4 linked regions of the Mus musculus genome follow. The protein of the gene in region 1 interacts with the protein of each later gene in a biochemical or structural test. Links are inferred from orthologs where the notes say so. Each region holds a gene or a part of one and is shown in the gene's direction. Other genes may lie near its edges. The genes, in order: Sort1, Sorcs1, Lrpap1 and Ngf.

Region 1 (8,358 bases):
AGGAGTTTTAAAAATTAAAAATTGTTTTAAATTAGCAAAAACCTGTTGGGACTTGATCTCAAGATTTTCAAGGTTTCAGATCACCAAGTCTTGAGTAACCAGCAAGTCTCAACAGCAATTTGAGATGTGGTTTGCATTGGCTGAAGCATGGCTAGTCCTCTAGTCAATTGCGGTTCATTTGATGGCTTAGGAATTATTTGCTGGGCTTTGTGTAATCTTTCATTAGGAAATTGTACTCTGATACTAAATAGTAGTAATATGGTAGCTGATTTCATACAAAATTCAGTGTAGTGAAAAGTAGCGTGTGCTGAAACACATTTGAAAACATCAGTTCAGCAAAGGAAGAAGTTTTGCCCACACATACAATGAAAGCAACTTGGGTTTATTTTCAACATTCTGCAGATTTCTACTGATGTTAATCCTGTTATGATGTTAATCCTGTATCATGTGAGATTTAGCCCCTGGAATCTTGTATCAACTTAGTCATTGTCTTACGGTTTCACTGCTGTAAAGAGACACTATGACCAAGGCAACTCTTATAAGGACATTTAATCAGGGTTGACTTATAGGTTCAGAGGTTCGAGCATGGCAGCATCCAGACAGGCATGGTGCAGGAGGCCTTTATCTGAAGGCCACTAGAGAAGACTGACTTCAAGGCAGCTAGGATGAGGTCTTAAAGCCTACACCCACAATGACACACTCCAAGGCCACATCTCCTAACAGTGCCACTCTCTGGCCCAAGCATATTCTAACCACCAGTCATTTAAGAATTTTATTGGGAAGCTGTCATAGCTGTGAAAGGTCATCTGTAGTCTCCCACAGTCTAAGAAAAGTACCTCTAGTGGGAAAAAGAGGCAATCATCTCTAATGTGTATGAGTGAGTGTGTGTGTGTGTGTGTGCGCGCGCGCACGCACATGTACCCAAGTATATATGAGGAGCCTGAGGAGGTCAGAAGAATGCATTGGATCCCCTGGAACTGGAGTTACAGGTGGTTGTGAGCTGCCACGTGGGTGCTGGGATCTAAACCCAGGTATCCTGTAAGCTCTTAACTGCTGAGCCGTTGCTCCAGGTCCAGTACTGCTTTTAACACTATAGATTAATGCAGATGTGGAAAAGAATACGTTGCTTTGAAGAGGTGTGTCACTCAAGAATATACAGAGAAAAAAGCGAAGGGAAAACATAGTGTAGCCCTCCAGCTTACAGTCCCTCCTATTGCTAAGGCAGGATGTCTGTATAACTGAGAACAGTAAGTATCATTATCTGCTATAATTACAATGTGAATAATTCAAAGAGATGGTTACTTTTCTTTAAATGTTGTGTTCAAGAAATGATCTTACATACAAAAAGGTATAGCTTTGTGATAATTACTTCATATTGATATTTTTGCTTGGGAGGCTGGTGAAGGAGGATCAAAGACTCTAAGCCACCCTGGGCTACAAAAAAAGACTCCCCAGTTCAACAAACTGACAAAATCTAAACGTTAATGGAACTAAATAGCTAAAAGATGTATCTGGTAGTTTCTCCAGCAGGTAGCACTGTTGAGTTAGCTTTCTTCTTTCCCCATAGTAAGACAATAGACCATTCATCTTTGTCACCCAAACAAAGAAATATTCCTTTGTAGCCCCCTTTTTCCCCTCCGTAACTGGTCACATGCTACTGTAACTGACTGCCTTGTGATCTAATCCATACTTGACACGAATTAAAAATAAGTTGTGCTTAAAAATAAATAATGTGGCGTTTATATTTCTGGAAAGAAAACACACTCATCAGTTTTTATCTTGTTCAGTGGCTCAGAAACTGGAGGGCTTTTCTGTTGATTTGCCATCCTGTTCCGCTTTCCAGAGCTTCACAGCTCCCTTCTTACTGTGGTTTTGGGGAGAGGAAAAACTCCCGAGTACGTAAATAGTTTTGTTTGTACTATTCCGTGTGCATACTCGGGTAGGCCTGCCGTTTGAGTTTACTGTTAAAGTTAAAAGTAACTTCCAATGGCTTCCACTCTGGTATAACATTTTGCATACTTTGTATCTTTTTATCTGGCTTCCTGAGTTCCGACTGAACAACTTGAAATGTTGGGAAGAGGTGGAGTGAAGTTAAGGATTTAGAACTGGTTTTACCAGCACTGCATGTTCTAAAAGTTGTGTGAGCAGCTTCTGCGGTGTAGGGAACAGTGGGGAGGTTATTTGCTGGAGGTGGGTATTCATTTAGGAGGCATCATATTCAGTGAGGGAATTGGTGTGATGCACTTACTGCAGGGCTAAGGGTGCTTTAGGTAACTAAAATCAGAATGTGACTGTACTAAAATGATAATATATAAAGTGGGCTTTAGGCAATTCTCTTCCCGTATACCTACACTTGGTGGCAAAGCTACCTACATTTCCAAGTCCGCAGAAGCCAAAAAGTACTTTCGCCTCTTGACTACCTCCCTGCAGATGAGGAAGGTGACTGAGGCCAAACATGTTGGAAAGACTTCTGCGGCTTCCATGAGACACGGGTGTAATGATGTTCATCTGCCCCATAGGATTTTCGCATTCACCTTCTTGGCTCCTTCAGCAGACAATGGGCGAGCCAGCGAGCCGGGGTTAAAATCCTAATGTACCAGTTTATGTCGGAGCCCCTTTTCCAACTGAGAGTAGTAGTTCAGGGATTCCCTGGCTTTCCCAGGCGCGGTTTCCACCGAAGGAAATTTTTAGGAGCGTTTGGAGGGGGGTTGGGAGGAGGGTGGAGAAGGCGGCAACGTGACCCAACCCTAACCCGAGGGTCTCCGGAAGCGCCGCCAACCTGCAGGCTGAGCGGGGAGGGGAGAGGGGTAACCCCTAGGCCAACTCCGGGAGCCCAGCCCGCAGACGCCGAGCGACGGTGGAGAATGACCTCAGCCGTCCCTGCCACGTTCCAGCCAATCAGTCCCGCATCTTGGCATCCGAATCCAGGACCCCCGAAGCCGGAGGCGACGCGAGCCAATGAGGAGTGGGCCGGGAAAGAAGGACAGGCGGCCAGCCTATTGGGGAGGAGAGGCCCGGCTGCGCGTATCCAAGCAGCGCGGGGCCGAGCTCGGGGGTGTGGCGCAGCGCCGGCGGGGGTGGGCGGGCGCGCCGGGTGGCAGGTGTCAGCGGCGTCTGCATTCGGCAGCGATGGAGCGGCCCCGGGGAGCTGCGGACGGCCTTTTGCGCTGGCCCCTCGGCCTCCTCCTGCTCCTTCAACTGCTGCCTCCTGCCGCCGTCGGCCAGGACCGGCTGGACGCGCCGCCGCCGCCCGCGCCTCCTCTGCTGCGCTGGGCCGGTCCGGTCGGGGTGAGCTGGGGGCTGCGCGCCGCCGCGCCCGGGGGCCCCGTCCCCCGCGCTGGCCGTTGGCGCCGCGGCGCGCCCGCCGAGGACCAAGACTGCGGCCGCCTCCCGGACTTCATCGCCAAGCTGACCAACAATACGCACCAGGTGAGCGCGCGAGGCCCGGGCGCCCGCCCCGGTTGGGTCGCCCCTCCGGGCCCGCGGCCCCAGGCGGCCGCTCCGCTCCCATTGCACGCTTCGAGGCTAGCGCGAGACCCCGGTTGCGGAGGGCGGCGAGGCGCGGGGGCGGCGGGGGCCGGGGTGGCTGCGGCCCGTGGGGCTGTGTGTCGTCATAGCCGAGGCAATCCGAGACTTTGACTCGCTGCATTCTTTGCTTCTGCTTCTTAAGTTGTCAGAATCTCCCGGTCATCCCCCCCCCCCCCCAACCCCCACCCCGAATATAGAACGCCGGGTCCACCAACGCTGGTACCTACCAGGAAGCTGGAGGCATAATTACCCCTTGAGTGATCGCAGAAGTTGGACAGCCCAGAAGCAGAGGTGTGCCCTCCCTGGGTCGGTACTTTTGAGGTTGACGTCCAGAAATCCCACAGCAGTTGTTAGGTCATGGCTTGTGTTTCCATAGTTAAAGGAACACTCATGGAAATGAAAATGACATTGAAACCCAACCGTGAAATGATATCTCCCCTGCTCCCTAAAATTAAAAACAAAAACAAGCAAACAAAAAACTGATTCAAGATGTTTCCTCAGGATGCAGGCTCAGAACCCTCTAACCTGACCCAAAACGACCTTGAGAGGTATTCCGAACCAAATTCCTGTGTGCAGAACCCAGAGAACAGAAAACGGCCTCTAGGACCTAGATTAGAAGCAATTGCAGAACAGCTCGGATCATCCAGAAGTTCCATTAAATGGCTTTACAGAGTGGCCAACTGTCCCAAACAAGAGTCTGGTTTGTAACCAGTCAGCCCCCTCTTTCTGCATACTACAGGATCTTTAAATCCCTTTGCTCCAGACCCATTCTGGAGATTGGCTCCAGTGTGCTTTGTTTCCTTGTAAGTTGACCTATTAGGAGACTCTTTTTGCACAAGAACTGGTATTGGCTTCTGTGTGTGACCCGCAGCCAGCTGAGATCCTGTCATCTGTCTCATTCCTTCAAAATTGACTTATAACCTTGTGTTGAACCCTTACTGGGACACCTCTATCCTGTCCTAATTTCTAATAACTATGAAACATTCTGCAGATAGTCACTTTAAGCCTGCTCTTGTCAAGACTTTCAAAGATTTGGTGCTTCTGTTTTGGGCACAAGAGTCTGAACCTTGACACACTGCTGCATTGAGAAATTGTTAGGAAAGTCTTGGTTTCAGCAACTAGGACATCTTCCTCCTCCTCCTCTTTTTTTTTTTTTCCTAAAATTAACAATTGTTGCAACCCATGTATGAGAAAGGCATTTTCAGTTCAGTGTATTTTCTGTGTTATGTCTTTCCTTTTTTTCCAAAGAAAGACTGTTCATGAAGGTGGCCGTGGGTGGCTGGAGTTCTGTACCCGTTCTTTGTTTACATTCCATTTCAGTATCCCCCCAAATCTCAGTGTCCCCTTGGGGTTTCTTTTGAGATCCATACTTGTTAGTTGTGACCTAATTCTCCGATCAGAGAGAATGGAATGAGTACTGGAAAGTCTTCCTATTTAATGAAAAAGTAAAATAAGCTTGTGTAGACCTCTCTCTCTCTCTCTCTCTCTCTCTCTCTCTGTAGGGTGTTGAGAAAGAATTTACCTTTACCACTGATACTTCATGCCCATTATCCCTGGCCCACAGCTCTCTGCACCAGCAAGCCCCGACATTCTTCAATTCTTCTCTTGCTGGATGACCCATCTTCAAATCCGCAACAGTTCCCGGTTGAATGTCACTTAGAGTATACCAGTTCCAAAGAAACCTGATTCTCCTTTGAAGTTCGTACGCAGGGGGCTTTCTCGAGTTCATTTAACTTAGTTACAGCTTGCTTTCTCCCCTTCAGTCTTTATTTCAAATGATTTTCCCACCCCAGTTGTTACCCTTCCAGAGTGGAGCCTTCAGCGTAGAAACCGTTGCGAAGGTTCTGCTTCCTCTCAGGAATTGGGAAATAATCTGCTGTTTTCAGATGTCATAATTCATCTTTATGCATCAGACTGAAGAGATCTGGTGTTGGGGGATCCTTTGTAACAAGGAGAGACAAAATCAGCAGCGTCCCAGAGCAGCGTGTTTACTTATTTATTATCATCGGAGACACTGTATGGTCTCAGACAGTTGAAGTAGGAAGGTGTTCTTTAATTTTTTTTTACCTTTCCCCCATAAAGCAGAAGTTCTTATTTCCCACAGCCTGTTGTTCTTTTCGTGTCCTATCATGAGTGCACCTGAATGCTTTCCAAAGGCCCGGAGATGGGGTGGGGAAAGGGGCTGCCAAGTTATAAAGGTAGTTCAGACTTGACAGTACATAAACCGCTAAAGGTTTCAGCGTGCGCTGGAGATTGAATCCCATGCCTTGCTCATACTAGGCAAGTGCCTGCCACGAAGCCATATGTTCAGCCCTAGCATTTAATCTTAAGAAATCCACAAAACAAAGTGTATGCCTGTCTAATGACTTTCCGAGACTTCCACCCTATGCTGTGGCATGGGCTCTGTCACTCATGAAATCTTCTTCCCGTAAGCTCCCCTGCCTCTCTCTAGGTCTCCTTTCAGCCTTTCAAGTGGGCCGTGTTTATTTTCAAGGCGTGTGTTGTTCGCTTGATTCAGGTCTCTGTGGGATTTAAGGGAGCAGAGAAAATACTTTTTTTTTTCTAGTTACAGTATTGACAATAGGAACAGGAGACTTGTAAGAAAGTGACAGAAGAACTGGATGTCACTAAAACAGGAAAAAGAATGGCAACAAGACGCAGGCCGAAGGTCACCGCTTACATCTTACCAAAAAAAAAAAAAAAAAAAAAAAAAAGATACTTCCTGATTTCTTTCTGAGGGTTTGGCATGCCAGGGAAAGGTGCTGCAGCACCACAGGGCTTTCTGTGAGGCCAGCCCTGCCTGCATGTGGGTCCTCGCTGGTATTATGTTATCTTCACTAAGTTACTTAAGATTCCATGTCTCAGTCCTAATCTTTAAAATGGAGCTAAGCATGCATGCTTATGAGAAACAAACAGGACTGTATAAAAATATGCTCCGTATTAGCAGATTCACGGTCCCTGAGACTTACACCCAGTAAGTTACAAAGCGCTTGCTCTCCCTGTTAGGGATCGTCCACAAACTCTCTTAGACGCAGTAGCCTTTATTTACCTGTAGTCCCAAACTGGTGTCAGGCCCCAGCATTAACCGACTGTGGCCTTTGTGTGCTTGGCGTGTTCACAGCACACATCACCTGTGTACATGGGAGAAACTGAGCAGGCCCAGAAGATTTTTATTAACGTTGGTTGCTAAGTTGGGTTGCTTCAAAACATCCCCCGCCCCATAAGCACCCCTTTGAGGGTCGGCATGAAAGTCAGCCTGAAAGAAACAGCAGAAATGCCTTGGCCAGAGTTGCAGCGGAGGCTGACATCATTCCCTCCTCATTCCTGTGTTACAGACCATTGGATAATTTCCTTAAAAGTTCCTGAAGTTAGGATTAATAGGCCAGGAGCTGTTGCGCACTCTCTCTTCTCCCTCTCCTGCTCCTGTCACTAACTACTGCTTTACACAGAGCTTCCCAACTCCTACCCCGACATCAAAGCATCTGGTTTCTTAAGTAAACAGGCCCTGGAGAGAGGCTGTTGTAAGGCCTCAGCACCGGGAAGAATGCTTGTGTTTGTTTGCCCCGCTGGCAGAGCTGAGGCCAGGCTGACAGGACTCAGTGTGTCTGCTGGCTGGTGCAGGGAGCTGCTGCTCTCTGCCTGTTGGGGATCACCAAACCTTTGTAACAGCAGGAGAGCTGAGGGTTGTTTGTTGCCTTTTACTATCCCAGAAGTTCCTGCCTGCCTCATTTCCCCAGCGTTACCCCGTATTCATTCCTTCTCCCTCCATTTCCCACACTCCATGTCCATATCTAGTTTATCCCACGTTTTACAAGGCCCTTTACTGCCGCTCAGGTTTGGGTCAAGGCATGGGAACCTAGGAAGGCTGGCCTTGGTCCTGGTTAAGCAGAGAGAGCCATGGCCCCCGGCCGGGGAAGAGCCCTCTGCCATGCAGACTGCTTTGAGCGGGATGTTAACGCCACAGACGCTTGGGATTCTGGGAGGAACCATCATCAGCTGTGAGGATTTCTCCTCCACCGCAGGAAAGGTTGCTCTGCAGAAGGGCTGAGCATTTGGTTAACATGAGAGCAGAAGGCCAGCCAGGTGTGACAGATGGCTGAAAGGGAATGTGGCATAAAGTTAAGGAAGTTCACTGCTGCCTCAAACACTCGCCTCTACGAATTGCAAATTGTAATTAGAAGTTTGAGTTGTGTCTTTGCTGGGGAAGGTCACTGGAAGCAGCCCTTGTTCTGGCCAGTTCCTAAAGGGTCTTTCTTTCTGCAATAATGACAGTAGCCGACACGCTCTGCTTTTTTGCATTAGGCTAACGCACGTTCTTGAGCTCTGCCATTTGCAAGCTGCTCTGGTCAGCAGGGATTGGACTCCCATGGTAACTGCCATGCCTGTGCTCTTCAGTTTCATCACTGGTGAGCTCTTAGCTCTGTGATTCCCACATGGCATTTAATTCTTAGCATCACTAGTGGGCATCAGCCGGAGGGAACATTTCCTCTTCCTCCTTACATTCTGGCCAATCTCCATCACCTCAATCATCCGGGAAGTTAGAACTTCATTTTGAGGCAGGGGAAATGAGGCTAGGCTGTTTTATATGATGAGGAACTAATGCTGAGGCAGAAAACCCATCAAATTGGACATGCAGCCAGCTCTAGAAAGAGCTGTATTATGTTGGCCCCTGACATATAAATAACTACTGTGTTTGTCAGTTTCTAGCACTTCCCAGTTCTCTGCCAAGCTTGTTCCTCCCACTTTGTGGCCTCCAGGTCTATGTGTAGGTCGGTTTCAGGGGTAATGGTGCTTGAAGAACAAAGCATTCTGTATGTGTCTGGTCTAGGT
Region 2 (7,880 bases), on another chromosome or scaffold:
CACCCAAAACTTCTATTTAGTTTTTGGAAAAAGACTGAACTGAGCTTTCTTGCTTGTCTGATAGGCGATCATAGAATTGGTGCTATAAAGTTATGTAGAAAGAAACATAGTAATCTGAACTTAAATCAGTTTTATGTTTCATAGCAATGCTGTTCTTTCATGTGATCATAAATGACCAACTGCAATTCCTTTATAACAGGAAAACGGAACTTAATTATTATAGGTTAGCAGGCAATTCATTAGTTGCAGGATAGCCACATTCCGTGTCCTTCATTACACTATGCCTAACACACTGACAAAGAAAGCTATGCTTGATATATAAAGAGTTAAAGCTAATATTAGAAAAATAAGCATTGTTTATTGGGGTTGCCTTTGTGTTCATACTTCATATTAGGCGTCAAAACGGAAATACTAATAGCGTGAATTGGGTTCCCAAGGATCATATTTATATTAAAGTTTGTGAATATCTCTCCAAATCACACTGTGAGGCTGCAGGAGAAGTCTAATCTTTGTGCTTGATTTTGCATGCTATTTGCCTCCTATTTGCAGGGGGAAGCATGCATCATGGGAGCCAAGAGGATATACAAGAAGAGAAAGTCTGAGCGCAAGTGTATGCAAGGAAAGTATGCGGGAGCAATGGAGTCTGAGCCTTGTGTTTGTACAGAGGCAGACTTTGACTGGTGAGCTCCTGTAGTTATCCCACAGAACTGTTCACTAATATGACATCTGTGAAGCCCTGAATAAAAGCTTTAACTTGAGAAAGTGGTAAACAAAACTAGCGCTAAGTGGCAGACCTTATATTTTTATTAAATTCTCTCTTGGCCACATCACGATTTTTTTTATTAACTATGTGAATGTGTCTTTCAAAAGAAATCAGCGGTTTCTTCTTTGGATTTTAAGAGGGTTTACAAGATGGTTGGCAGTTATTTTCATATTGATGCTGGATAGTCAGAAAAATGGAGACGCCAAATCTATCTCAAGCTTCTTTAGATAGCAATATGGGAAGCACTAACTAGAGCTCCCAGAAAGCAAATATGTTTATGTGTTACGTAAAGTTGTTTTAGCATTGAGCATCCTTGGTAAGCATAATATCCACAAAAGACATAAATCCTTTGTCTGTGAACGTTTCCAGCCTGTGGTGGTTGGCTAAATGAAGCTTATGAGAGCATTGAGTGACATTTATAGTCTCAGTACAAGAGTGGACTCAACTTGATCCTGTGAACTGAGTGATAATAAAGCTAGTTTAACCTGGAGAGGCAGAAGAGACATTGGGAGGCTTCAACTAAACTCAGCAAGCACTAGAGTTCTTCCAGACATTTGCTAAACATTGGAGAGCCAATGATCTTCTTGCTTTATTCTTGTTTAGTATTTAATGAGCGGGTAAAATTGAAAAATTATTTAAGAAGTCTAATAAGCCACCATATTTTCTTTTGTTCTTTCCCTCTTTTTTATCTATTTCGGAATAGGAAGCAATTAATATATATTTATGTAAATGTTAAAAACTAAAAACTTGAAACATATATAAATTATTAATTCTTACTATTTTGGCTATGTGACTGTAACAGCTCACATGTATAGTGTCATCAAAATGTGAGTGACTTATGTGAGACACAGGCTACACATGCATCTCAGACCATAACCAGGTCAGTCTCTTCTAATGGTAGACCACTAGAGATGTTCTCTGAATTAGAGGTGTTGAGAAAGCCTGCCAGTTGTCAAACAAGTAACCCAACATTGCTTTCTCTTGTTGATGAGCAAGAAAGACCAAGAGCCAGCATTTTAGCTCTTTGCACTTATTGGAGGGTATCAGAGCTTCAGCAATAACAGAACTCATGGACGTTCTACAGGGGCTTCCCCTGTATGCTCTTATGTCAGTGATATGTAACTGCAACAACAAAACTGCCTTATCTCTACCCTGAACTTGGGACTGATACCCAGAAAGATACTCACAGAAAGACCTACCTTGAGATTTTGTCATCCATCACATCCCTCTTTCTGAAGCCTAATTCTTGATCATTTACTATACTGAAGGAGAATTTGCAAAGTAAGTTGGCATGTTATATCACTGGAAGAACTATGGCTCTGTGCAGTATCCATTCTTCATACAGAACAAAAATATCTGCTAGAAGGAAATGTAAGAGAAAATGTACCCTAAAATTCTGCCTTTTTCATAAAAAACATTTTCCTCTTTGAATCTTTCTTCCTAAACCATTTCAACATAAGCCAATATTTTGGTTTTGTTCAAGGCAAAAAAGAATGTAAGATAAGGAAATAAATTAGGCTTCTCTCCCTATTCTTGCCCCATGTCTGTCTTGTTTAGGTCATTGAATTCCACTGGTGACTGGAGTCTGCTACCAGTCCCAGAGGCTGAACAGAACTCTAAGGAGTAGACCGTGAGTCTTAAGTTGTGCTCCTGTGTGGTTTCTTGCTCAAATGGGACTACATGATGATGAAAATGTTTTGGAAGGCTCACTGTGTGCTTGTTGGGCTTCTTTTAGAAGCTGGATTTTCTACAATCTTACCTGATAGTAGCATAATGAAAGATGCTCATTGGATGTTCTTTGTTAGCCAGGCTCCCTGGATATTGTCCAAGTGACACTGCGTCATTCTCCAGCTTTTGTCGGGCATTTCCTTGAAGTGAGCACTGGGTAATTCTGGAAGTGGCTATTCTGTCATCTTCCTACTCATGCTGGGTTGAACCAGGCCCTAATCTAGAGGGATGTACAGAATATGAAGTTCCAGTTGTCTGATGACAAGCCCTTGAGGCTGAGCCCATTTCTCCCTCCATGTCCATGGTGTGCCAGCATCTCACCTCTATCACAAAGATGGACCAATTTATACTAGTGCTTGCCCATTGCTGCCTGTGATTTGTCTGTGCATGTAGAGGTACAATTTGTTGTCCTTTTCTGTGCCCAGTTTTACCTTCCAGAAGCCAAGAACATCAGAGGTCCCTGGAAGCAAGAATGAATAGAAACCAAGAGAAAAAAATTAGAGCATTTTCAATGCAGAGGCAAGATTTAAGGCAGTTGTTACCAACTGGTAGTGAGAAATGCTGAGGACAAAACTTTTCCTTGGGGAAGCGCTTGAGAGACTCCTGAAGGGCATTTTCTTTTTGGCTGTAACTCTGAAGCATATGGCTTATACGCAGAGAAACCTGGCTCTTCTCTACTTGTTACAGCCAGATGTTTTGGAAGAGCATCCCAAAGACATCACTGGTAATGAGGACTGTACCACATGTGGCTGTTTTCACCAAGACTCAAGCTCCCGACTCAGCCATGTTCCTATTTACTCTTTCTCATTACATGAGACCAAAGTCATTCCTCTCACCTTGAAGGCATCAAAAGGGGAATATTGGTTCTATAAGATATTTTCATGGGTAATAGATAATGTATAGAGAAAAACTTTTAAGTCCTAGAAGACTTAAGCATTTAGGCAATGCTTATTTTATTGACTGATTAGAAGTTGGTTGTCAACTACTATGAAATAGTTCTGAATAAGTTTGCCATCTGGTAAATGTTTCGTCTTGGGTATGTCCCCAACAGTGACTATGGCTATGAGAGACATAGTAATGGACAATGCCTGCCAGCATTTTGGTTCAACCCATCCTCACTGTCAAAAGACTGCAGCTTGGGACAGAGTTACCTCAACAGCACTGGGTGAGTTTCTGTGGTAGTAGGCTTCAGGGGCCAACCTTGGATGATGATGTTACTCTGACACAGTTCCTTCTGATCATACACCGGACTTGTTTTCCTATAACACAATGCATTTTTGATAGAATGTCATTTCTTGTCACTATATTGCTGCCATTAAACATTTAGCATGTGTGTTTATGTGTGTGTATGTGTGTTTGTATGTGTGTGTGAGAGACAGAGACAGAGGGGTATGTGTGTATGTGCAAGGTTATGGGGATACATGCTTTGGAGGCCAGGGGTTGAATTCAGGTGTCTTACTCAATTGCTTCTCAATGGAATATTCTGAAACACCATCTCCCCCTAAATATAGAACTCACCATTTCATCAATAAATGGTTGGCCAATGAGCTTTAGGTATTTATCTGCCTCAAGGATTTATAGTGCCACTTTGCCTAGCTTTTCACATATGCCCCGAGAATCTGATGTCTGGTACTTCCTCATGGTTGCATAGTATGCTATCTCTCCAGCATAGATTTCTCAGCTTTTTGGCTCACATATTTAATTTCAAAAGAAATATACAGGTATGTTTTATTTAGTTAAAAGTCCAGTTTAGTTCATCACTCCAGTACTGGCCCCATTTTCCTCACAGCTCTGATCTCTATGCTGTGTAAGTTTCCAGACATTTTCCTTGCATTTTTCCAACAATAAATTTCTCCAAGAAAAATACATAAAATCCACATGGAAGATGACTGTTATATGGTTTGCTATATTTGTTATATGTTCTTCTTTAATTTGCCTTTTTCACTCTAAAAATATATCTTAAGCATCTTTACAGGTCTGATTAGATCGGGCTACTTTCATACCTTTATATTGCATCCTATTCAATAATAAAGCATTATTTAATTATTATTTTTCATGGATATTTGGGTTATTCTGTTTTTTTAAATGCCACTATCAATAAAACTACAATTAACATTCTCTACCACAACCCTTGTTGTTAAAAACACTCGTAGATAATTAGAGTTTCCTTTGTTAATTAGAAGTGTTTCTTTTAGCTTATAGAGCAAATTACATTCAGCCAACTGGTTTCTTTTTAGGCTCATGTATTAGGCATTGTCAAATTTTCTCTCACAGAGATGAAAATTGCAGTTTCTGCTCACATACTGCTAGGCTGTTCTAGAGACTAAAGAGTCATCTTAAGTAACTTCCATCCTCTTGAAAATCCAGTGGATTCTGCCGAGGAAAACTTAAATGGAAGAGAAGTTGAGAAAGGTCAATTCAGATTCAGTGAACAATAAGACTGGCCCAGTTGGCAAGAGCTACTTGACAAAGTCACACTGTTGTTTAGAAGCCTTTAGAATTAAGTAAGCAAGTTGGACTAACTCCAACACTACCTTTAACCCTTGTCTATGCATTGCCAGGATGCAGTCTGTATCAGCAGAATGAAAGGCAAAGGCCTCAGGGTCATAAAATTAGCCTGAGAGCATGCGCTTGCCTGCTTCTGGCTTCCTAGACACAACACTCCCTCACGCCCTCACGCTTTGTCGGGTTCCAGAGCATGTTGCAGACATACAGGCAGAAGACGAACTGAGTGAGGTCTTCTAGCTAAAGGTTAATCACAGTGATGGTTAATGAACTAACCACAGAGCATGTAGCAAAGTCTGGGTCTCTCTCTCTCTCTCTCTCTCTCTCTCTCTCTCTCTCTCTCTCTCTCTCTCTCTCTCTCTCTCTCTCTCTAAATGGTTTGCTATATAAACAGTCAGCTTTAGACTCAGCATATTTGTCTTGGTATATAGCAGTGTTCCTAGGTTCACTCACTTCACCAGAATGGAAATTTTCATCATAGGTTATTATTCTTACCAATGAAAATGTTATTTTAAGGAGATACTAACATTTTTTTTTTGTAATCAACTTGACTGTGCAGAGGTGAAGGGCCTCACAGTTTGTTCTGCAATTGCTGGCCAGGATTTAGAAGAGACAGTTATAATAAGAAGTAAATGACTGAAAACAGCACCTACATGTCCTCTACCTTTGTTTAGTTCACTGATGTCAGGATTTCTGACATCCACACATAGAGGTGCCTGTCAGCATCTCTCTCCTCTGTATCCTTGTCTTTTTGGCCTCACAAGTCTTACACATTATCACATCCAGAGTCCAAGCAAAGACAATGAATCAAGTTTTCTACCGCAGAGGAGCTAAGATTGCAATGCCATTGAATAACTTTCACTTAGTTCAAAAGTGAGGTCCCTTGCTATTTGCTGTCAGGTTTGAGCTGTGGTTTGTTTCTTTGTGCCTCTCAGTTTCTTACCTATGGAAATTTCTTATTTGCATTCAGCTTGTGATTAAATGTGGTACTATATCGAGAATGTGTAGACTAAACCCCAAGAGACAGTCATTACTTTGCAAGATACAGATCACTCTAGAATAGGGGATTAAAAGAGAAAGGAAAAATCCTTTATTCATTGTGAATGTTTAGTAGAGGCATACATGACCTTTAACGGCCACTTCAGTGTTGGTGTCAGTGACATATTTAATCTACCTACCAGTTTCTCATCTATAAACTAGAAATAGTGATCAACAAAGGCTCATAATGTCACCTGATTAGGAAGTGATGTGTCAACTACTGTTATAAAGTCACATGTCTAGAATGAGATAGACCACTCACTGTAAACCAGAAGCTGTGTCTATTCCTCTACCCTGTCCAGGCCAGGCAACTAGTTTGCCTGATTATCGAACAAGTTCTGTGGTCTCAAAAAAAATATCCATTTCTGTTTTTTATTATATAAAGATAAGCAGGTAGCCCCAAGGAATCCCCTGTCTGCCCCACCTTTTGTGTCTTCTTAAGCAATGGCTTCATATATCTCAAGTTGTGAATGCACAAGCTTATTAGGTTATATTTATATGTTGTGTTTTAACTGTTTGGAACTAGAGAGCAAACTGCAAATTAAAGTTGCTAAATTAACCAGGACATTGGTTATATTATATTACAGTGAAAATATGGGGTCAGTTTATTCTACAAAAACAAGGCAGTTTTCTTAAGGGACAGATTTCTTCTTTTTATTTAGTTGAAGACATTTCTTGCTGTGTTCAAATGGATGTGTGTTGAAATCTCTGTCCATGTGAGTTTCTTTACAGGAGCCATTAATCGCTCATGGAGTAATATTCAAACACTGTTGTTCATGACTAGCTGCTTAATATTTAATAGGGCTGTTTACTTAAGATGCTCACTTAAAATAACATAAGTGAGGTATCTATATAAAAATATTTAGTAGGTCCATCAATAAGTATCACATATACATTTAAGCAAAGGAATAACTTTCATATTATTACCTTATTCCTTGATGTCATAAAAATAAGGTGTTTATAAATATAATCTTCTCCCTACTAGCCACAGACACAGACCTGAGTAATCTGTTCTCACATAATGTCTATACCCAGTATCACTGTGGGGAATTTGAGTTCTTCCCACCTGATTATTCCGGATGACCTGTGGGGATCCTGATGTTCTGTCTGATCTATACTCTGTGAGATTTCCCAGTGTGCATCAAGGAGAATAATTAGTCTTAAAATTGCTGCATGTGTTGAAAGTCCACAGAAAGGAAATCACTTGCATTATTTACAAACTGATCACTGCAGGAGCCCATGTAGTTGTTTTCGAGCCAGGACTCCTGTGGTCTCAGAGTGGATACAAAATAATTGTTACCTGCTAGGAAGTCATCTCTTAGATGAGGTGTTCCATCTTTTCATGGGATGGCATAGCAGTTGGGAAATAGAGATCCACTCCTTCACATTTTTGCTTCCATCCACATCAATAATGCTTCGATTAGAGGTTCCCACACAGGTGCTGTGACATTCTGGCATTGATAGTTCTTCATTGTGTGACCTTGGGCAACTCTGTCTCTCCTTTCCATGTTATCCAAAGCAAAGTTACTATAGTAGCTGTTTAAGGATGCTTTCACCACTTTCATTAACGGGTTGAGATAATTCAGAAGTAAAGTTCCTTGATCTGTTTATGCTCAAGAAAAAGGAAAACATTGAGATTTAGTTGTACAAATTGATTCAGATGGTGGATTCACGAAGCCCCACTCAAGACTGTTTCCAGCAAGCCATTTAGACAAGTGTGACCATATGTACTATTTCATCAAATCTGTCTTCAAAATGAAGCTATATGCATTTCTTATTCAAATTGAGTTGTGCTTCTATCCTGTTTAATACAAGTAAAATTAACTCAACCCACCTAGATGCCTAT
Region 3 (7,880 bases), on another chromosome or scaffold:
ACTAACCCTCAGTGCTAAGGTCTCTGCTATGGCAGGAGTTGCTCTGTATAGAGTCCCTTCCTCAGGCTTGATGGTGAGTGTGGAGTTGGCTTCCTAGGAGAGGAGGCTGGGAGCTGCCAGAAGGAAGTGAGCAGCCAGCTCTGCAGAGATAGAGTTGGGCTCAGAAATAGAGGAACGCAGAAGGCCAGGAAGAGAGCTGGTGACCACCGTCGTCTGGCTAGCCAGTGTCCTGGGTGGGGTTAGCTTCTTCCAGCTTGACAGGGTCTGGCTCATAGAGCAGCAGACCTGACAGGATTAGGAGCTGACACATGAAGTTGACCCTTCTAAGCCCTTGGTGGAGCTCTTGCTGTTGGAGATGGGTGCAGGACACCTTCTGGGTGTGGTCCATTTGGACCCTCCCTTCACTGCTCAAGTTATTGTCAATACTGGCCCCTCATCTGGGGGACCAAAATGCAGAGTCTATCTGTTTCTGTCTAAGAAACAGATGCTGCTGGTAATCATATGAAGGGTTGGGCCCCTTAACTATAACCAGCTCTACCTGGGCCAGGCCAGATCCTTAAGGGCTAGTCTCATGGGAACTGCATCATCTAGACCCTCCGGTCCAGTGCAAAACCTCACATGGCCTCAGTCCTGTGGGGAAGCTGTTCAGGGACATGCCCACTGCCATTCCCAGGGCTGCCTCATTCCCCAGGCTGGGCCTGGACACTGCAGGGAACTTCCTGAGTTGCTCAGCTCCCTGGGACTCCATTTCATAGAGAGCAAGCACTTCGGAGCTTGCTCAGTCTCAACTCTGAAGTCTTGAGCAATTTGCCTATGGGCCCAAGTCTAATGGAGCTCGAGTTCCCCACTTAGTTCTCCTCCTACCCTGACCCACCCTGGGCACCAAGGCGACCCAGGTTGGGGGTGACCAGCTCTTTTCCATGGTAGCAAGCAAGCAATGAGCAGGCTGGGGCTGGGCAGCAGAGCTGCAGAGGCAGTGCCAGGCACTGGCTCTGAGGCTAAGAGGTATCTGAGCGTACTGATTTTACTGTGTTGCCCAGGCTGCGCCCAAACGCCAAGACTCAAAGCATTCCTCTTGCTTAAGCCTCCCAATCATCATAGGTTAGAAGCTCAAGCCACTGCCCACTTTTAAAATAGCTTTGTAAGATCTAAGTTAGATCGAATGGAGTCCAGATCAAGTCACGGTGTACGCACCCACGCTGTCCTCTCACAGCTATCTCCTGACCCATCAGTAGAAGTGGCTTTCTGTGGTCATCAGAGATGCAGGACAGTGGGAATGCAAGCCTTGCAGTGTATTACTCCCATCTCCGGGGGTAGGGGAGTGGGGGTTCAAGCTTCTAGGCACTATGAAGCACCATTATTCTTAGGCCTGGGAAAAGGGTAGCCATCCCCCAGAGTGTAAACTGAGCAGCAGGGACACTTGCAGGGTAGGTTATGACTGAAAGCAGAGCCCATCAGAAGCAACAGTGTGGGAGGCTGCATTGTGAACCATGTGTCCCCTGACCCACTAGGGCATGGAGACCATGGTGCCATGTGGAACTGCCCAATGAGAGCTGTTGGATGAAGGCCCAAGAAAATACTGGGATCACCAGCTTAGAGATGACAAAGTAGCACCACAGAAATTCTGTACCCTTTCCAGAGAAGACAGGGTCACAGGTGAGGGACAGATCCCCAGCAGCTAAGCAGAAGTTAGGCCTAGGAGTCTCTCTGCCCTTAAGAGCAGGGATCAAGCAAGCCCTCTCACCAAGCAGGCATGGGTGGCTTCACGTGGCATGCAAGTTCCAGGGTAGTCTGGCTGGCAGGGGCATGGAAGTTACAGGACAGTCATTTTTGAAGTCAGCTGGCAGGTTTGCCCATTGTGTGTGAGTGACAAAGGGTGCCAAGACCTCCAGAGTGGAAGGGCTGTGGGCATGCATAGAGCCTGGACATCTCAGAGGCTAGGTGCCTATTGGCCAGCCTCTCCTAGCCATCACTCTGACAGGATGTCAGGAGACTGCTCAGTCCAAACATCAGCACATACCCTCCCTGCCCATGAGCTCCTGATTTAGGAGGGCTCAAGCAGGGAGCGTCTGTGTTGGAACCCAGGATGCCTTGTGAGTCCCTGGCCTTGGGAACCTAAGCTGGTGCGTGTCTCCCCCAGGTCTCGTGTAGCCGCTCAGTGGGGGGTGAAAGGAATCTTCTAGAAAAGGAGAAGCAGACTCATTGTACAGGCTCCTGTGGCAGCTTCTGCCTAGTAAGGGAGACAGTGTCCAATAAAAATCAAATGCCCCCTCTCTAGTCATCCTGGCCAGATACGGACTGGATGGGAGGAAGGACGCCCAGATGGTGCACAGCAACGCCCTCAATGAAGACACCCAGGATGAGCTGGGGGACCCCAGGCTGGAAAAGCTGTGGCACAAGGTACCACCTCCCATTTTCCCCCTTGTCTTCTGAAACACGTGCCAACGATGTGGGACTGGGGGGCTCTGTGTCTGCTGTCACCTTTACACCAACTCAGGCTGCTGGCTCCACCGCGAGACATGATCTGTGCGCATGTTCTCCTTTCTGTGAAGTCTGAGCTGTCCTGGTTGGTTACTCTTGCTCAGCAGAGCTGCTCCTAGCTGTCAGGACTGCAGTCTTAGATGTGCTCTTCACGGTGTGTGGCTAAATCACACAGTTGTCAGTCAGGTCAGGTAGCTGTGTTTCCTTTCTTTTGTCTGGTCTGTGGTCTTGCTTCTGGGCTTAGGAAAGGGACCCTCAGCTGTGTACAGATGTTGGCGTGGGCTCTTGATACTGTGATTGGGAAAGTGGGCAGCACTGGGTGTGGCCCACCTTTGCTTTGTGGTGCAGACAAAGCAAAGAGCACAGGTGTGGGGTGAACACTGGGATATGGCATTGGTTCGGTGCCACAGGCTCACTTGGTCCAGCTCCTGGGATAGCCTGTCTGGGTTACACTGATCTGGTCCCTGCTGGACTATCAGGATGGCCCTGCTGTTCTCAATGTGTACACAGCGGGAAGAGTTAGGCAGATGTAGGCCCCTTCCGCAGAGTCCTTCCCTTTCCTTCTCTGTCCAGTCCTGTCAAATCGGGACTTCAAGGAACAGAGGCACTGCCCATCAGGAGCTTCCAAATTGATTTTTCTTTTCCTGGTGCACACACCTAGGAGAGGGTCACAAGGCTTGCTGGGGGTAAGAACAGCCCCAAGCTCTTTGCCCTGGAGCAAGGACGCAGCTGATAGGCGCCTAACTCCTTGGGGTGTGCTGATGACTGGACAGACATGGTCACCCAGGCTGTTTCCTCTTAGGCAAAGACATCAGGGAAATTCTCCAGTGAAGAGCTGGACAAGCTGTGGAGAGAGTTTCTGCATTACAAAGAGAAGATCCAGGAGTACAATGTGCTGCTAGACACACTGAGCAGAGCTGAAGGTCTGCCCACGCCCGTGTGTTCTGGGTGGGCACAGTGGGACACGGTTGCCTAGGGTTGTGGGGAGGGGAGGGGAACGCTTCTCTTATGTTTCTACCCATGTTCATGAATGCATACGGTTTTTATATCAGTCAGTACAGCTCTACAGATTGCTTCTGGGGTGACTGAGGTGCCCTGATGTAACAGGCCACCGCTCTAACCTAAGCCAGCCACCGTGAGTTCTAAGTAGTGTGACCTTGCCAAGTAGGGGGCCTGAGAAAGTAGGAGGCATTAGGGACCATGGAGACCCCTGGGGCAAGCCTTGGGTACAGGTGCTGAGACATCCACACTTAGATGCTTTGAGAAAGCACATCCATTATTAGCTAGCTCTGAGAGCTGCAGAGGTATGGCCTGTGGGTGGACGTGGAGCCATCTTGGCGACTAAGATGCCAGTTCTTGTCAAACATTCTGTGTCTTGTTCCACAGAAGGTTATGAGAACCTTCTCAGTCCCTCGGACATGGCCCACATCAAGAGCGACACCCTGATCAGCAAGCACAGTGAGCTGAAGGACAGACTGCGCAGTATCAACCAGGGCTTGGACCGCCTGCGGAAGGTCAGCCACCAGGGCTATGGCTCCACCACTGGTAAGCCCTGGGGACAGGTGCATGGGCCCAGGAGTATCTAGGATACTTGTCATACTCAGTTGTCAGTGGCCTGTCCTGGGCCCCACTTCCTGGAGCTGTAATATAAGTGTCTGGGCTGGGAAGATGGCTCAGCGATTCAGAGTACTGGCCTACTGCAGAGGACCTGGGTTCTATCTCCAGCACCCACATAGCAGCTCACAACTATCTGTAACTCCAGGCCCAGGCCATCCAGTGCCCTCTAATGGCCTCCGCGGGCACTGTCTGCCTATGGTACACAGACATACATGCAGGCAAAACATTCATGCACATAAAATAAAGGTTAATTTTTTTGAAAATTGTTCTGGGTCGGCCATCAGCCCTGTCATCAAACTTATTTTGAAGTGGTAGCAGAGTGGCCCTCCATCCAGGCTGTCTTTCAGCCTTGGTAAACGTCACACAGGACTGTCTCTGAACCCCCTTGCCAGTGGAGCCCAGTCTGGGATAGCCAAAGGTCCATGCTGGCCTATGGCCCTTGTATCAAACAGGGTGCCAGCTTCTGCTGCAGTGACAACCCCACCCTTTCAAGACTTACATGAGTGCTAGGGCCAGGCTTGCTGTCTATCCCTGGGGCTCCAGGAGGCGGCATTGTGGGGGACTGGGGAGGCAGGGCTAGTTTTGTGTCCCGCAACAGACAAAGTCCTCCATGAACAGCCTTAGACAGCATGGGCCCAGGCAAACCTTCTGGGGAGCACCTGCAAGGCCTTGCAGGCATGGCGTGCTCTTGTGGGGCTGGGCTCAAGGACTGTTGTGAAGTCATTGCTCCCTCTCCAGAGATTGCGTGCTGTCTCAGGCCAGTGGGGCTATAAAAGGGAGCCTGGCCATGGTCAGTGTTGCGTGTCACCACTTTCTCTATCCACCATCCTGCCCTCCATGGGCCATCTCCTAGAGAGCTGCATCCAAAAAGTCCCTCGGCTTCTCCCACTGGCCTGCCTGTGGGAATATAGGTCTAACTCCTATATTCTCTGGAGAACCAGGGTTCTCCTGGGTCATGGATGGGAAGGGCCCTGTGGACAGCAGGATTTTCTGAGGCCAGGGAACCTAGTCTAGGGATCATGGGAGCTAAAATGTGAATGGGCAAACCTCAGCCTTGACTTGGTGACAGCCCTCCCTAGTGCCCAGCTGGATGTTTATGGTCCTGTCACACCGCTGCTCTCAGTCACTTCCCCCACCCCCTTGATTGAGAGCCAGGAGCAGGCTGATGGCCCTGGGCAGGGGTAGCAGTTGATTCTGGGTCTAGAGCATGTGACCCCCTCCACTGGTGCAGCCGGGTTTCAATCAAGCTGCATCTAAGCTGGAGCTGTGAGCACAGACCAGGTACTTAGTGCTCCCAAGTTGCAACCCACACTATTCCCTTGGGATGACAAGCCACTTGGCCCCCAGCACCGAGGTGTGTCCTGACTTGCCACCTATAGACAGCCCTTGCTCTCCTGCAGAGTTTGAAGAGCCCCGGGTGATAGATCTGTGGGACCTGGCTCAGTCTGCCAACTTCACTGAGAAGGAACTGGAGTCATTCAGGGTAAGGAAACAGGGACAAAGCTGTGTCGCCTTCTGTTGTGGTCTCCAATGGGGCCAGGTTCTCTGTTCCTTTTCCTCATCCCACAGTGCATTTGTGTTTTTGTCCTGACCCTTTTCCTTCCTGCCCCTGGCCTCTGCTGTCCCCATCATCCTGGTCGGCAGTCAAGTGGTAGCAGGCGGGCACACGCCACTCACGCCAGCAGTGCCAGTGCTTCCTGTGTGCAGCATGGTGGGGTGGCCTGCCCTGCTCTGTGCTGTGAGGGCTGAGAGGGATGAGCGGCCATGTGCCTGGCCCAGCGTGCGGTGTGGGAGGAGCTCCAGGAAGCTGATGGGGGCAATACCTTCTGAATGGGATTGTTGAGAGTTTCTTGCTGTTTAGGGTAGGATAGGACCTGCTTGGGACCTGTATAGTCAAGGTCCCCAAGTCATCCAAGACTTCTCCAGTGTGTCTGTGCCCAAGGAGCTCCAGAGGTGGCGTTTTTGGAGGCCACCACTGACCTCCCAGTGATCACTGGACCCAGGAGGTAAAGGGAGCAGGCAGGGAAGATTCCAGCAGCAGGCAACCTGTGAGAAGCAAAGGAGCCCTAAGGGGCAGGGCCAGTGAGGTGGGCACAAGGCTATCCTCACGAGGGTGTAGCTTTTGTGGCCCTGGGAAGAGACCTTAGATCCCCAAATCCAGCCTGCCTTAGTCTTGATCTCCTGAAGGTAGAAGATGGGTGACCATCCCGAGTCATCGGGAAAGAAGGTATCCAGGGATGGGAGTTCAAAGGTCCCCACTGCTATCAGGTTCTGGTGGACAATCCCTGTTTAGAGACTCGTAGCAGTAAGCATGTGCAGTTCTCAGGCGTGCAGCCCGGGAGTTGCCAGCCGTGGCCTGGACCATCGGTGGACAAGAGACAGGCACCTCAGGGCTCCGACTGGGGGGAGACTAAGCTCCTGATGTGTCCTAGGAGGAGCTCAAGCACTTTGAGGCCAAAATTGAAAAGCACAACCACTACCAGAAGCAGCTGGAGATTTCCCACCAGAAGCTGAAGCACGTGGAGAGCATCGGCGACCCCGAGCACATCAGCCGCAACAAGGAGAAATACGTGCTGCTGGAGGAGAAGACCAAGGAGCTGGGCTACAAGGTGGGGATGCCGTCCTCCACTCCTCTGTCCCTGCGCCCAGTCCTGTTCAGCCTTCCCTTGGGTCTTAGACAAACATGACCTCCTGACTCAGGGAAACACAAATGCAGTCCATTGGAACTGTGAGTGGCTGGGTACTCAGCATGGGAGATGCTCAGCAGACACTGTGCCTGTAGACAACATGTCAGATCAGATGTGCATGCCTGTAGATAGACATGGAAGGCAGCCAGCGTCGTAGCAGCCAAGGGAGCCTCTGGACAGGGAGCTGTTTCCTGGCCTGCTGAGGTGTGCGCTTGGATCCCAGACTGGCCACACGGGGATATGACATAGGTGGCCTGCAGAGGCAGTGGGGTCCCCAGGAGCCCTTTAAGAAACAATCTCTGGGGGCTGGTGAGATGGCTCAGTGGGTAAGAGCACCCGATTGTTCTTCCGAAGGTCCAAAGTTCAAATCCCAGCAACCACATGGTGGCTCACAACCATCCGTAATGAGATCTGACGCCCTCTTCTGGAGTGTCTGAAGACAGCTACAGTGTACTTACATATAATAAATAAATAAATCTTAAAAAAAAAAAAAAAAAAAAAAAAAAGAAACAATCTCTGGGTTAGTGGAAGCAGAACAAGCAAAGGCAGACCAGCTGTGTCAGCAGTCCCCACATGTGCTGGGAACCCCGAGGACCCAGCACACCTGTCTCATGAAGGATCTGGGGCTGTGGCCAGCATGGGCGATTCCCTCCTATACCTTCTCAGGTTGAGCAGAGAGTTAACTGCGCAAAGATAAATAAGCTCTGAGAAGTGGAATAGTGCATAGAACAGCAGGAGCCTAAATCTCTGGGGCTCAGAGGCCATTGTTGAGGTTACCATAGGATTTGGGGGTTTTCACAGGACTAAAATTCAAGCACATTCTTGGCTGCCCTGGCCACCAAGAGACTTGTTGCAATGAGGGACCCTGTGAATCTGGACCATAAACTAGGGGTGCCAGAACCCCATAGTATGCTTTGAGACCTGCCAGCTACTGACGTCAAACCACAGGTCACATATGAAGGGTAGTGCTAGCAGCTGTCAGTGAGAGAACTCATTAAAACCACAGATCAAGCCAGGTCCGTGTCTGATAGGTCAGTGTGGCTGTTTGTGCCCTTGTGGAATTAAGGGGTCAGAAGTAGAGTTCTCTGTGACCGC
Region 4 (7,678 bases), about 5.8 Mb from region 1:
ATCAATATGGTTTTCCCAAATTACATTTTAATAAAAAACTGAAGGGATCAACTCTTAATGAACTATCTATCTGTCCATAATGCAAGTCTCCACTGCCACCGAATGACCATGGATACCATGTGCTAACCCAACAGCAAAGCCACAGATAGCATTAAGAGTTTAAATCATTGTGGAGTCTGTTGTATAGAGTGAGGATGTGCTATATAGAGTAGAGAACTTTATAATTCCATAAATTAAGAAAGTCAGAGTCTGTAGACACCTTAAATATCAGCCCCCAGGTAGAGCAGTCAAGACACTCAGAAGGAAAGAGGTGACTCCACACGGAATGCTCTTTTGAGGTGTGGGTGTCACAGGAGACAACAAGGCAGCAGACAGATTTCTGCCTATGTGGAGCTCTCTCCCTCCATCAGAGAGGATAAGAGAACACACCTGTCATAAGACAAATGTACCAGGGAGAATTTCTCTGCCTAGAGCAATGGTTCTCAACCTGTAGGTAGCCTACCCTTTGAGGGTCAAATGACCCTTTCACTGGGGTCGCCTAAGACCATCAGAAAACACAAATATTTATATTATGATTCATAACAGTAGCAAAATTACAGCTATGAAGTAGCAATAAAAATAACATTATGATTGGGAGAGTCACTACAATATAAGGAACTGAATTGTGAACTGAATTAAGAAGATTGAGAACCACTGGCATAGAGTCAGAAGTTATTGCAGTGATGCCATTGAAGTTAGAGGTTGGGAGACAACAGGATGGCTTCTGACAGTAGATAGAGAGAGCAGAAAGGGGACGGGGAGTGCAGGGGAAGCATACCAGAAGGAAAGAGCCCAAGCACAGGGCAGGAGCTGTGCCAAGAGCTCGTGTGTGTGGGATGCGAGGTAAAGTGGGAGGAGGTGGGGCAGTTGCCAGGCTGAGTGAGCCAAAGACAAGGGCTCACCACTGGCTTCTTTGACTGAGTTCCTGAGGCCAGAACAATGCATTAAGAAGCCTAATGGTGGAAGTCAGGGGAGACGGCACCAGAGGAAGGTCCAGAACATCAGGTGGAATGTAGTCCCACCATCTGAACCCAAAACACAGAAGTGAGGCTGGAAAGGAAGTTACAGCTCCAGGGAACGATACTCCAGCAGAACTGGAGAGACAACATAGAGAGGTCTGGATGAAGGGCAGGGACCAGAGGCCAGGACGAGCTGAGATGTGCAGCTGGTGAATGAACACATAATGTTCTTAGTAATGGGAAAGCAAAATGTGAAGACGCCACTTAGGAGAATGAGAAACAGGAACAATGGAGAGAGTGACTGTGGAACTGTTAGGGGGAAGAAACCAGGTGGTTTTGGCTACTACTTCTGATCCAGAAGATGAAAGTGGGACAAGGGTGGACTTGAACATGAAGGTTTTGTTCAGTGATGTCTTGCACTGAGACTGCCAATATCCACAGAGAGATGCCCTCAGGAAGCAGGAGGTCTAGAGGGTGCTCCAAGGGAGCAGGTGGGCCAGGGATGGAGCTATGGGAGTCAGCAGTCTGCTTAGAAGAAGATGGGCTTCCCCAGCGGAGCTTCCAGGATGAGACAATGGGAAACAGCAAGGCAGGCCTTGTTTCCATTGAAACCCTATACTCTGGTCAACTTTTCCTCAGTTCCTGATCCAGTTCTAACAGGTGTTACCAATTTGGGTATAAAAGTATGGACTTGAGTTCTGTGTCTTCTGCCTTAATTCACCTGATGAAAGATAATGCGTACCGAGAAGAAAGGCGTGGAACAAGAAAAGGATCAGACATAAAAGGCTGGATGAGCTGCCAAAAGAATGATCAATTCTCCAAGAGTTGGCAAGACAATTATCAGCAAGACCTTTTACCATCAGATCTGGGAGGGGGAGTCAAAAACTCAGGTACCGACTGCCTCCTCCTCTGTACGGGTGGCTGGAGAAGTGGAGCGACAAAAAACATTCCTGGAAGAGAAAAGAATGTGGTTGGATTTTTTTCTTGGATCCCACCAAGAAGAATAGCACTATATGGGATTCACTGGTTGAATGCGGATGAGAAGGCCTTGTGCAGCCCTGGGAACAGTCAAAAGGACCCATGACTATAATAGAAAGCAAAGGGTGGGCTTCTCTGAAATCTCCATTCAATGTTTTCCTCATTCTCCACTTCTTTCTTGAGGAGCTATAACATTCCAGACACTGTATATGGCCATGCAGTGATTGAATGGAATGAAAGTCACGTGGCTTCTAAAGCACCATCTGGGAGGGAGACAGACATGAGAATGATTATCCACATCACCAGGTGAAGGAAAGGCACAAGATACATGTCCCCATACTGATGGAGGAGGCTGCCACCCAGGCAGATTACACAAGGCTGTGTCCTCTAGGACCACACAGACACGGGGTGAACAAAGGCACAGGCTTTATAGAAGTCTGAGAGAGGAAAAACAATATGCTCTGAAAACCCACAGGTGGAGGGGCCCCAGAGGGAGGACAGCAATGATAGAACTAAAGAAGACAAAGTCCTTGTCTTAATAGAGATGTGATAGCTTAGAATCAACACGTGCTTAATCTAAATATTCAGCCTGGAAAATCATGTTTACTGCCCTCAAGGAAACTAAAGTGCAGTTGATTAAATGGCTTTCAAATGCTGACAAATACCTGAGCTGGATATCCAAATTTTCTCAGTTCCAAATATATATAGATATAGCCATATAGAGATATAGACATACAGACATATAGATATAGATACATATTCAGCAGGAAAGAGTACACATGCATGCATTCAGACACACGCACACAACACATAGAAATACAGAGACAGGCAGACAGATGGAGCACTTATGTTAGAGTTATTAGAGAAAGCTTCAAGGATTAGGACATGTCCAAAATTGGCTGAAACAATAGGGGAGGAGGCAAAATGATCCATCAGCACAGGAGATGAGAGAAAAGATGAGTTGGGGGCTTGGGAAACACTGTGGGAGAGCCCTCTGAGCCAGCCATTATCTGCAGAAGCTTCACAAAGGAGGTGGCCTTTGATCCAAATCTGCAGGTGTGAGCTGGTGCTCGGTATGGGTAGGACCATGGTCCCCAGAACAGAGCTGACTCTAGCGTCACTCAGGGTGAGCTTGGTTGAGCCTGATATTTGTTCTATACTCACCTTCAAGCAAGAAAAAGAAAATACCTGTTCAAAAATGAAAGAGAGAAGGGGAAGGAGGGAAGACATACACACGGACTTGGTAAGGGGTGTTTGATTATCTTTCTGTCCTAGCTTCTGCCTGTAGGTTGGTTCCTTGTGGATTGGCCTCCTTACACAGGAAAGAAAGATGGCGGTTCCTAACTAGAATGCCCCACCCCCCGGAACTTTCAGTTACCTGTGATGCTTTGTGGATTTATTTCAAGAATGCTCAGTCTCCAGGCTCAGAGCTACTGAGTGAAGGAAAAAAAAATCCAGTGCTGATGCTTCAGGCCACACTAGCTTCAATGCCTTCCAGAACCTTCCTAAGGGAATCACATTCAGGGTGCAGGCACCATCACCATGCAGCCCTTCAAGCTGGCAGTCACAGAACCCAAAGAGTGAGACCCCCAAGTTTCTAGGCAGGACCCTGTTGCTTCCCAGAACAGAATGACCACACAACCTGCTCCGGCTAATTCCAGAGATCCAAGTGTGATTGCTGCCCGTACTTTTCTCTCACAAGTGTTCTACTTTGGGTATTGAATCCAGGCTCTCTACCCATAGCCTACCAATGAAGCCTCCTGGCATCCTCTTGGGAGAACCCTGTGAGGGAGCATGACACCTTCCCAATAATGCTTAACACCACTCCCCAGTATAACTTAGGTAACCTCTATCTTTTTTTATTCCAGGTGCATAGCGTAATGTCCATGTTGTTCTACACTCTGATCACTGCGTTTTTGATCGGCGTACAGGCAGAACCGTACACAGATAGCAATGTCCCAGAAGGAGACTCTGTCCCTGAAGCCCACTGGACTAAACTTCAGCATTCCCTTGACACAGCCCTCCGCAGAGCCCGCAGTGCCCCTACTGCACCAATAGCTGCCCGAGTGACAGGGCAGACCCGCAACATCACTGTAGACCCCAGACTGTTTAAGAAACGGAGACTCCACTCACCCCGTGTGCTGTTCAGCACCCAGCCTCCACCCACCTCTTCAGACACTCTGGATCTAGACTTCCAGGCCCATGGTACAATCCCTTTCAACAGGACTCACCGGAGCAAGCGCTCATCCACCCACCCAGTCTTCCACATGGGGGAGTTCTCAGTGTGTGACAGTGTCAGTGTGTGGGTTGGAGATAAGACCACAGCCACAGACATCAAGGGCAAGGAGGTGACAGTGCTGGCCGAGGTGAACATTAACAACAGTGTATTCAGACAGTACTTTTTTGAGACCAAGTGCCGAGCCTCCAATCCTGTTGAGAGTGGGTGCCGGGGCATCGACTCCAAACACTGGAACTCATACTGCACCACGACTCACACCTTCGTCAAGGCGTTGACAACAGATGAGAAGCAGGCTGCCTGGAGGTTCATCCGGATAGACACAGCCTGTGTGTGTGTGCTCAGCAGGAAGGCTACAAGAAGAGGCTGACTTGCCTGCAGCCCCCTTCCCCACCTGCCCCCTCCACACTCTCCTGGGCCCCTCCCTACCTCAGCCTGTAAATTATTTTAAATTATAAGGACTGCATGATAATTTATCGTTTATACAATTTTAAAGACATTATTTATTAAATTTTCAAAGCATCCTGTATACCGACACTTGAGTCCTTTCTCTCAGTAAGAGTACCCACAAAGTTTGAGAGAGTGCGGAAATGAACTGTCCCCATCACTCCTGGCACCATAGCCCATCTGAAACCTTCATTCCCAGCCAGCCCTGCTCCGGGGCTGGCTAACTAGTTTCAGACACTGCTCTACACCCACCCAGCATGATTAGCGAGGGAAGTCAGCCTGCAGGCTCTGGTCTACATTCCAGAGCCAAGTCTGCCAAATCCTTGGATTATCTGCTAAGCATGGATCCATGAGCTTTGATTGCCTCTCTTGAGGAGAGTAGAGCAGTTGAGACTGGGCAGAAAGCAGGTTGCTATGAGAGTCTCTGAGAGACTGAGGTTGGTCCTCGAGGATACTGGGAACTCCCAGTGTGGATAAGTAGAGGCTTCACGGGTCTCCTGGCTTCAGTCAGTTGGATGGGCAGCCTGAAGGAGCTGTAACAAAATCATCTCCTGAGGCCTGTCATGGCAGATCTGGTTTCATGTTAAGATTGCCTTTGCTCTGATGGCTGCTTCTCTACTATTCCCCTGTGGCTGCCTGCAGAAAGACTTCCACAAGAAAACAGCAGGGCTTCCAAACCTCTTGCCACCCACGCACCGGAACAGCTCAGGTAGCAACTATCGGTGGCCCTGGCAACCCAGCATCGGCTTCCGAGTAGAAAGGCAGGGACCGGTCAGAAAGGAACTTCTGAAGGTTTTTTACTCTTACTTAGATGATTTCCACAAGTGAACAGAGCTGGCTGGGACAAGACCTGTAGAGATCAGAGAGTTGAGGTAGAACAGATATAGTAAGACCAACACAAGCTCTGGAAGATGGAGAGGGGAAAGCCCAAGCCAGTATGACACAGCTGCTTTCTGTTCATAGGTGCATGCCTGCGTGTGTGTGTGTGTGTGTGTGTGTGTGTGTGTGTGTGTTGTGTGTACACATGTGCACATACTTGCTGTCTATCCTTTACCAAGGCCCTTTCCTCCTAGACAGCCAGTTCCCTGGGTAGTTTTGGAGAAGGGGTAATTTTTTTTAATGTGCTCATGCCCACTGTCTCCAGAGCAATAAAGGCAACAGAGAGACTACGGGATCCTCCCTGAAGCAGGGCATGACCAGCTCCACATAGTCAAAGTCCCCACACCCTTCATCTTGTTTATTTGTTTATTGTTTTTCCCTCGAGCCACAATTTTTCCCCCTAGAATAGGAAACCTCACAGGGAGATTTTGTCCACACCTCTCCTCCAAGGATAACAATGTCTACTCTGTTTTTAAAAAAAAAAAAAAAAAAAAAAAAAAAAAAAAACATCCCAAATTGTCCATCAGCTAAAAAAGGTTGCATTCAATTCCTCTGTACACCTCCCTGCCCTGACCCACCCTAACCCTCACTCAAATGGGGCAAACAGGAAACTGAGAGACTGCAGTGCAGACCTTTAGACTAGGGTGAAAGCCTGATGGAGGATGGTGATGGCCTTTTCTATCAGGGCTACTGCAACTGCAATAGAGTTATGTTCAAGAAACACCAACCAGAACATTCTGTGCTGAGATGCTGGGTCAGATAAGGGGAGCTCTCCCTCTGGCCTGCGTCTGTGGGTTTTGCAGGGCTCCAGTTCCATGGCCTCAAAAGTCCCAGGCCCCTCGCATGAGCAGACTATGAAGCTCTTCTCTTAGGAGGCAGACCTGCTAAGTCCTGGATGTGAGGAGAGTAATGGTGAGGGAGATATTCTGGAAGCATCTACGCAGAGCAGCGGTGCCTCGGAGTGGCTATACCACCAAAGCCATGCCTGGAGAGCTGTGCCCAGGGCTGCCAGACTCTTTGGGAATATCTGAAAAATTATCATTGGCTCTCCTTGGCCAGCTTACAGAACTGACTCAACATCCAGATCTCTAACGGAAACTGGTTGAGGACACCCCATCTCCACAAGAGAAATTCTTTCTATAGTTACTGGTAGAAATGGGCCTCCTGCACCAACACCCCTACTGCTCCCCTGAAGGGAAACAGTGCTTTAGTAGAGTCAGGGTGTGGAAGCTAATGTTTTCACACAGCGTGAGGGGCTATCAGTTTGGCTGAAGAGAATGTAAGTTGTCCAAAACCAACCCCCAGCCCTGGTCTTTCTGCAGCTTCAACTCCTCCCTACGTGGAGGTGAGCACCAGCCAGCAGGCCTACCCTGGCTTTCCCTGAGAGTCCACTGCATGGCCAGGGTCCCAACCACTTGAGCATGAGGAAAAACCAGCTCCGAATCTCCCACTGTGTTCAGAGAGAAGCAATGACCCACCCCAAAAGGCTCTTCCCTCCTTGTCTGTGTCTCCCTGTGACTTTCCACCTCTGTTTCCCTCTTCTCTTCAGCAGCATCTGCCATCTGAAGTATCCTCCAACCTGCCACAGAAAACTAACACAATCCCACCATCCTCCCTGCAAGCCCAGCCCAGCCAACCGCTCTCCCGGATCCATTCCCTCTGACTCCTGGTTCCAGGAGCAGATAGCACTGGGTGATCTGATTCAGGGTTAGAGTCCCAGTTTGTCCTTTGGACTTCCCCACCTCCAGTTGGACCACCAGCATCTCCCCAAGAAGGTGGCACTCCTAACTGAAGGCAGAGTTAGATGCAGCTTTTCAGCACCACCAAATAGCTCAGCTTGTTACTGTGGACCGCAAGAATGATCCCAAAGTTTAAGCACTCTGAGGGGAGTACAAGATAGAGGGCAGATCTGCCCCATCTGGGATACCTGCCTATATTCTGGGGACAAAGAAATAGACTAGAAAAGCAGAACCATGCGGAAACAGGCTATCTGGAACTTAGGGTCTATTCTCAGCATTGACCTTATAATCTCCCTACAGAACAGTGGGAGGCACTGGGCCACACAGTGTCAAGGTCATCAGTTATGCATGGTGGAGAAGCAGTCCCCAGTGGTGGGACAAGTTCTGGGAAGATGGCAGCA

What was found.
Region 2: the proteins of Sort1 (region 1) and Sorcs1 form a complex in vitro, tested with the Homo sapiens proteins (2 studies listed by BioGRID and IntAct, with this or other methods). The link is inferred for Mus musculus from reciprocal best matches to the Homo sapiens genes SORT1 and SORCS1.
Region 3: the proteins of Sort1 (region 1) and Lrpap1 form a complex in vitro, tested with the Homo sapiens proteins (4 studies listed by BioGRID and IntAct, with this or other methods). The link is inferred for Mus musculus from reciprocal best matches to the Homo sapiens genes SORT1 and LRPAP1.
Region 4: the proteins of Sort1 (region 1) and Ngf form a complex in vitro, tested with the Homo sapiens proteins (3 studies listed by BioGRID and IntAct, with this or other methods). The link is inferred for Mus musculus from reciprocal best matches to the Homo sapiens genes SORT1 and NGF.

The regions. Positions count from the first base shown.
Region 1 is NC_000069.6:108,281,012-108,289,369, forward strand, and holds the start of Sort1 (sortilin isoform 2 precursor), read left to right. Parts: upstream 1-3,052; 5' UTR 3,053-3,129; coding exon 3,130-3,429; intron 3,430-8,358.
Region 2 is NC_000085.6:50,217,899-50,225,778, reverse strand, and holds part of Sorcs1 (VPS10 domain-containing receptor SorCS1 isoform 1 precursor), read left to right. Parts: intron 1-549; coding exon 550-680; intron 681-3,542; coding exon 3,543-3,656; intron 3,657-7,880.
Region 3 is NC_000071.6:35,093,677-35,101,556, reverse strand, and holds part of Lrpap1 (alpha-2-macroglobulin receptor-associated protein precursor), read left to right. Parts: intron 1-2,278; coding exon 2,279-2,400; intron 2,401-3,283; coding exon 3,284-3,404; intron 3,405-3,867; coding exon 3,868-4,026; intron 4,027-5,498; coding exon 5,499-5,581; intron 5,582-6,530; coding exon 6,531-6,707; intron 6,708-7,880. UniProt on the Homo sapiens protein: Molecular chaperone for LDL receptor-related proteins that may regulate their ligand binding activity along the secretory pathway.
Region 4 is NC_000069.6:102,516,267-102,523,944, forward strand, and holds the end of Ngf (beta-nerve growth factor isoform B precursor), read left to right. Parts: intron 1-3,844; coding exon of another isoform or gene 3,845-3,856; coding exon 3,857-4,582; 3' UTR 4,583-4,747; downstream 4,748-7,678. UniProt on the Homo sapiens protein: Nerve growth factor is important for the development and maintenance of the sympathetic and sensory nervous systems.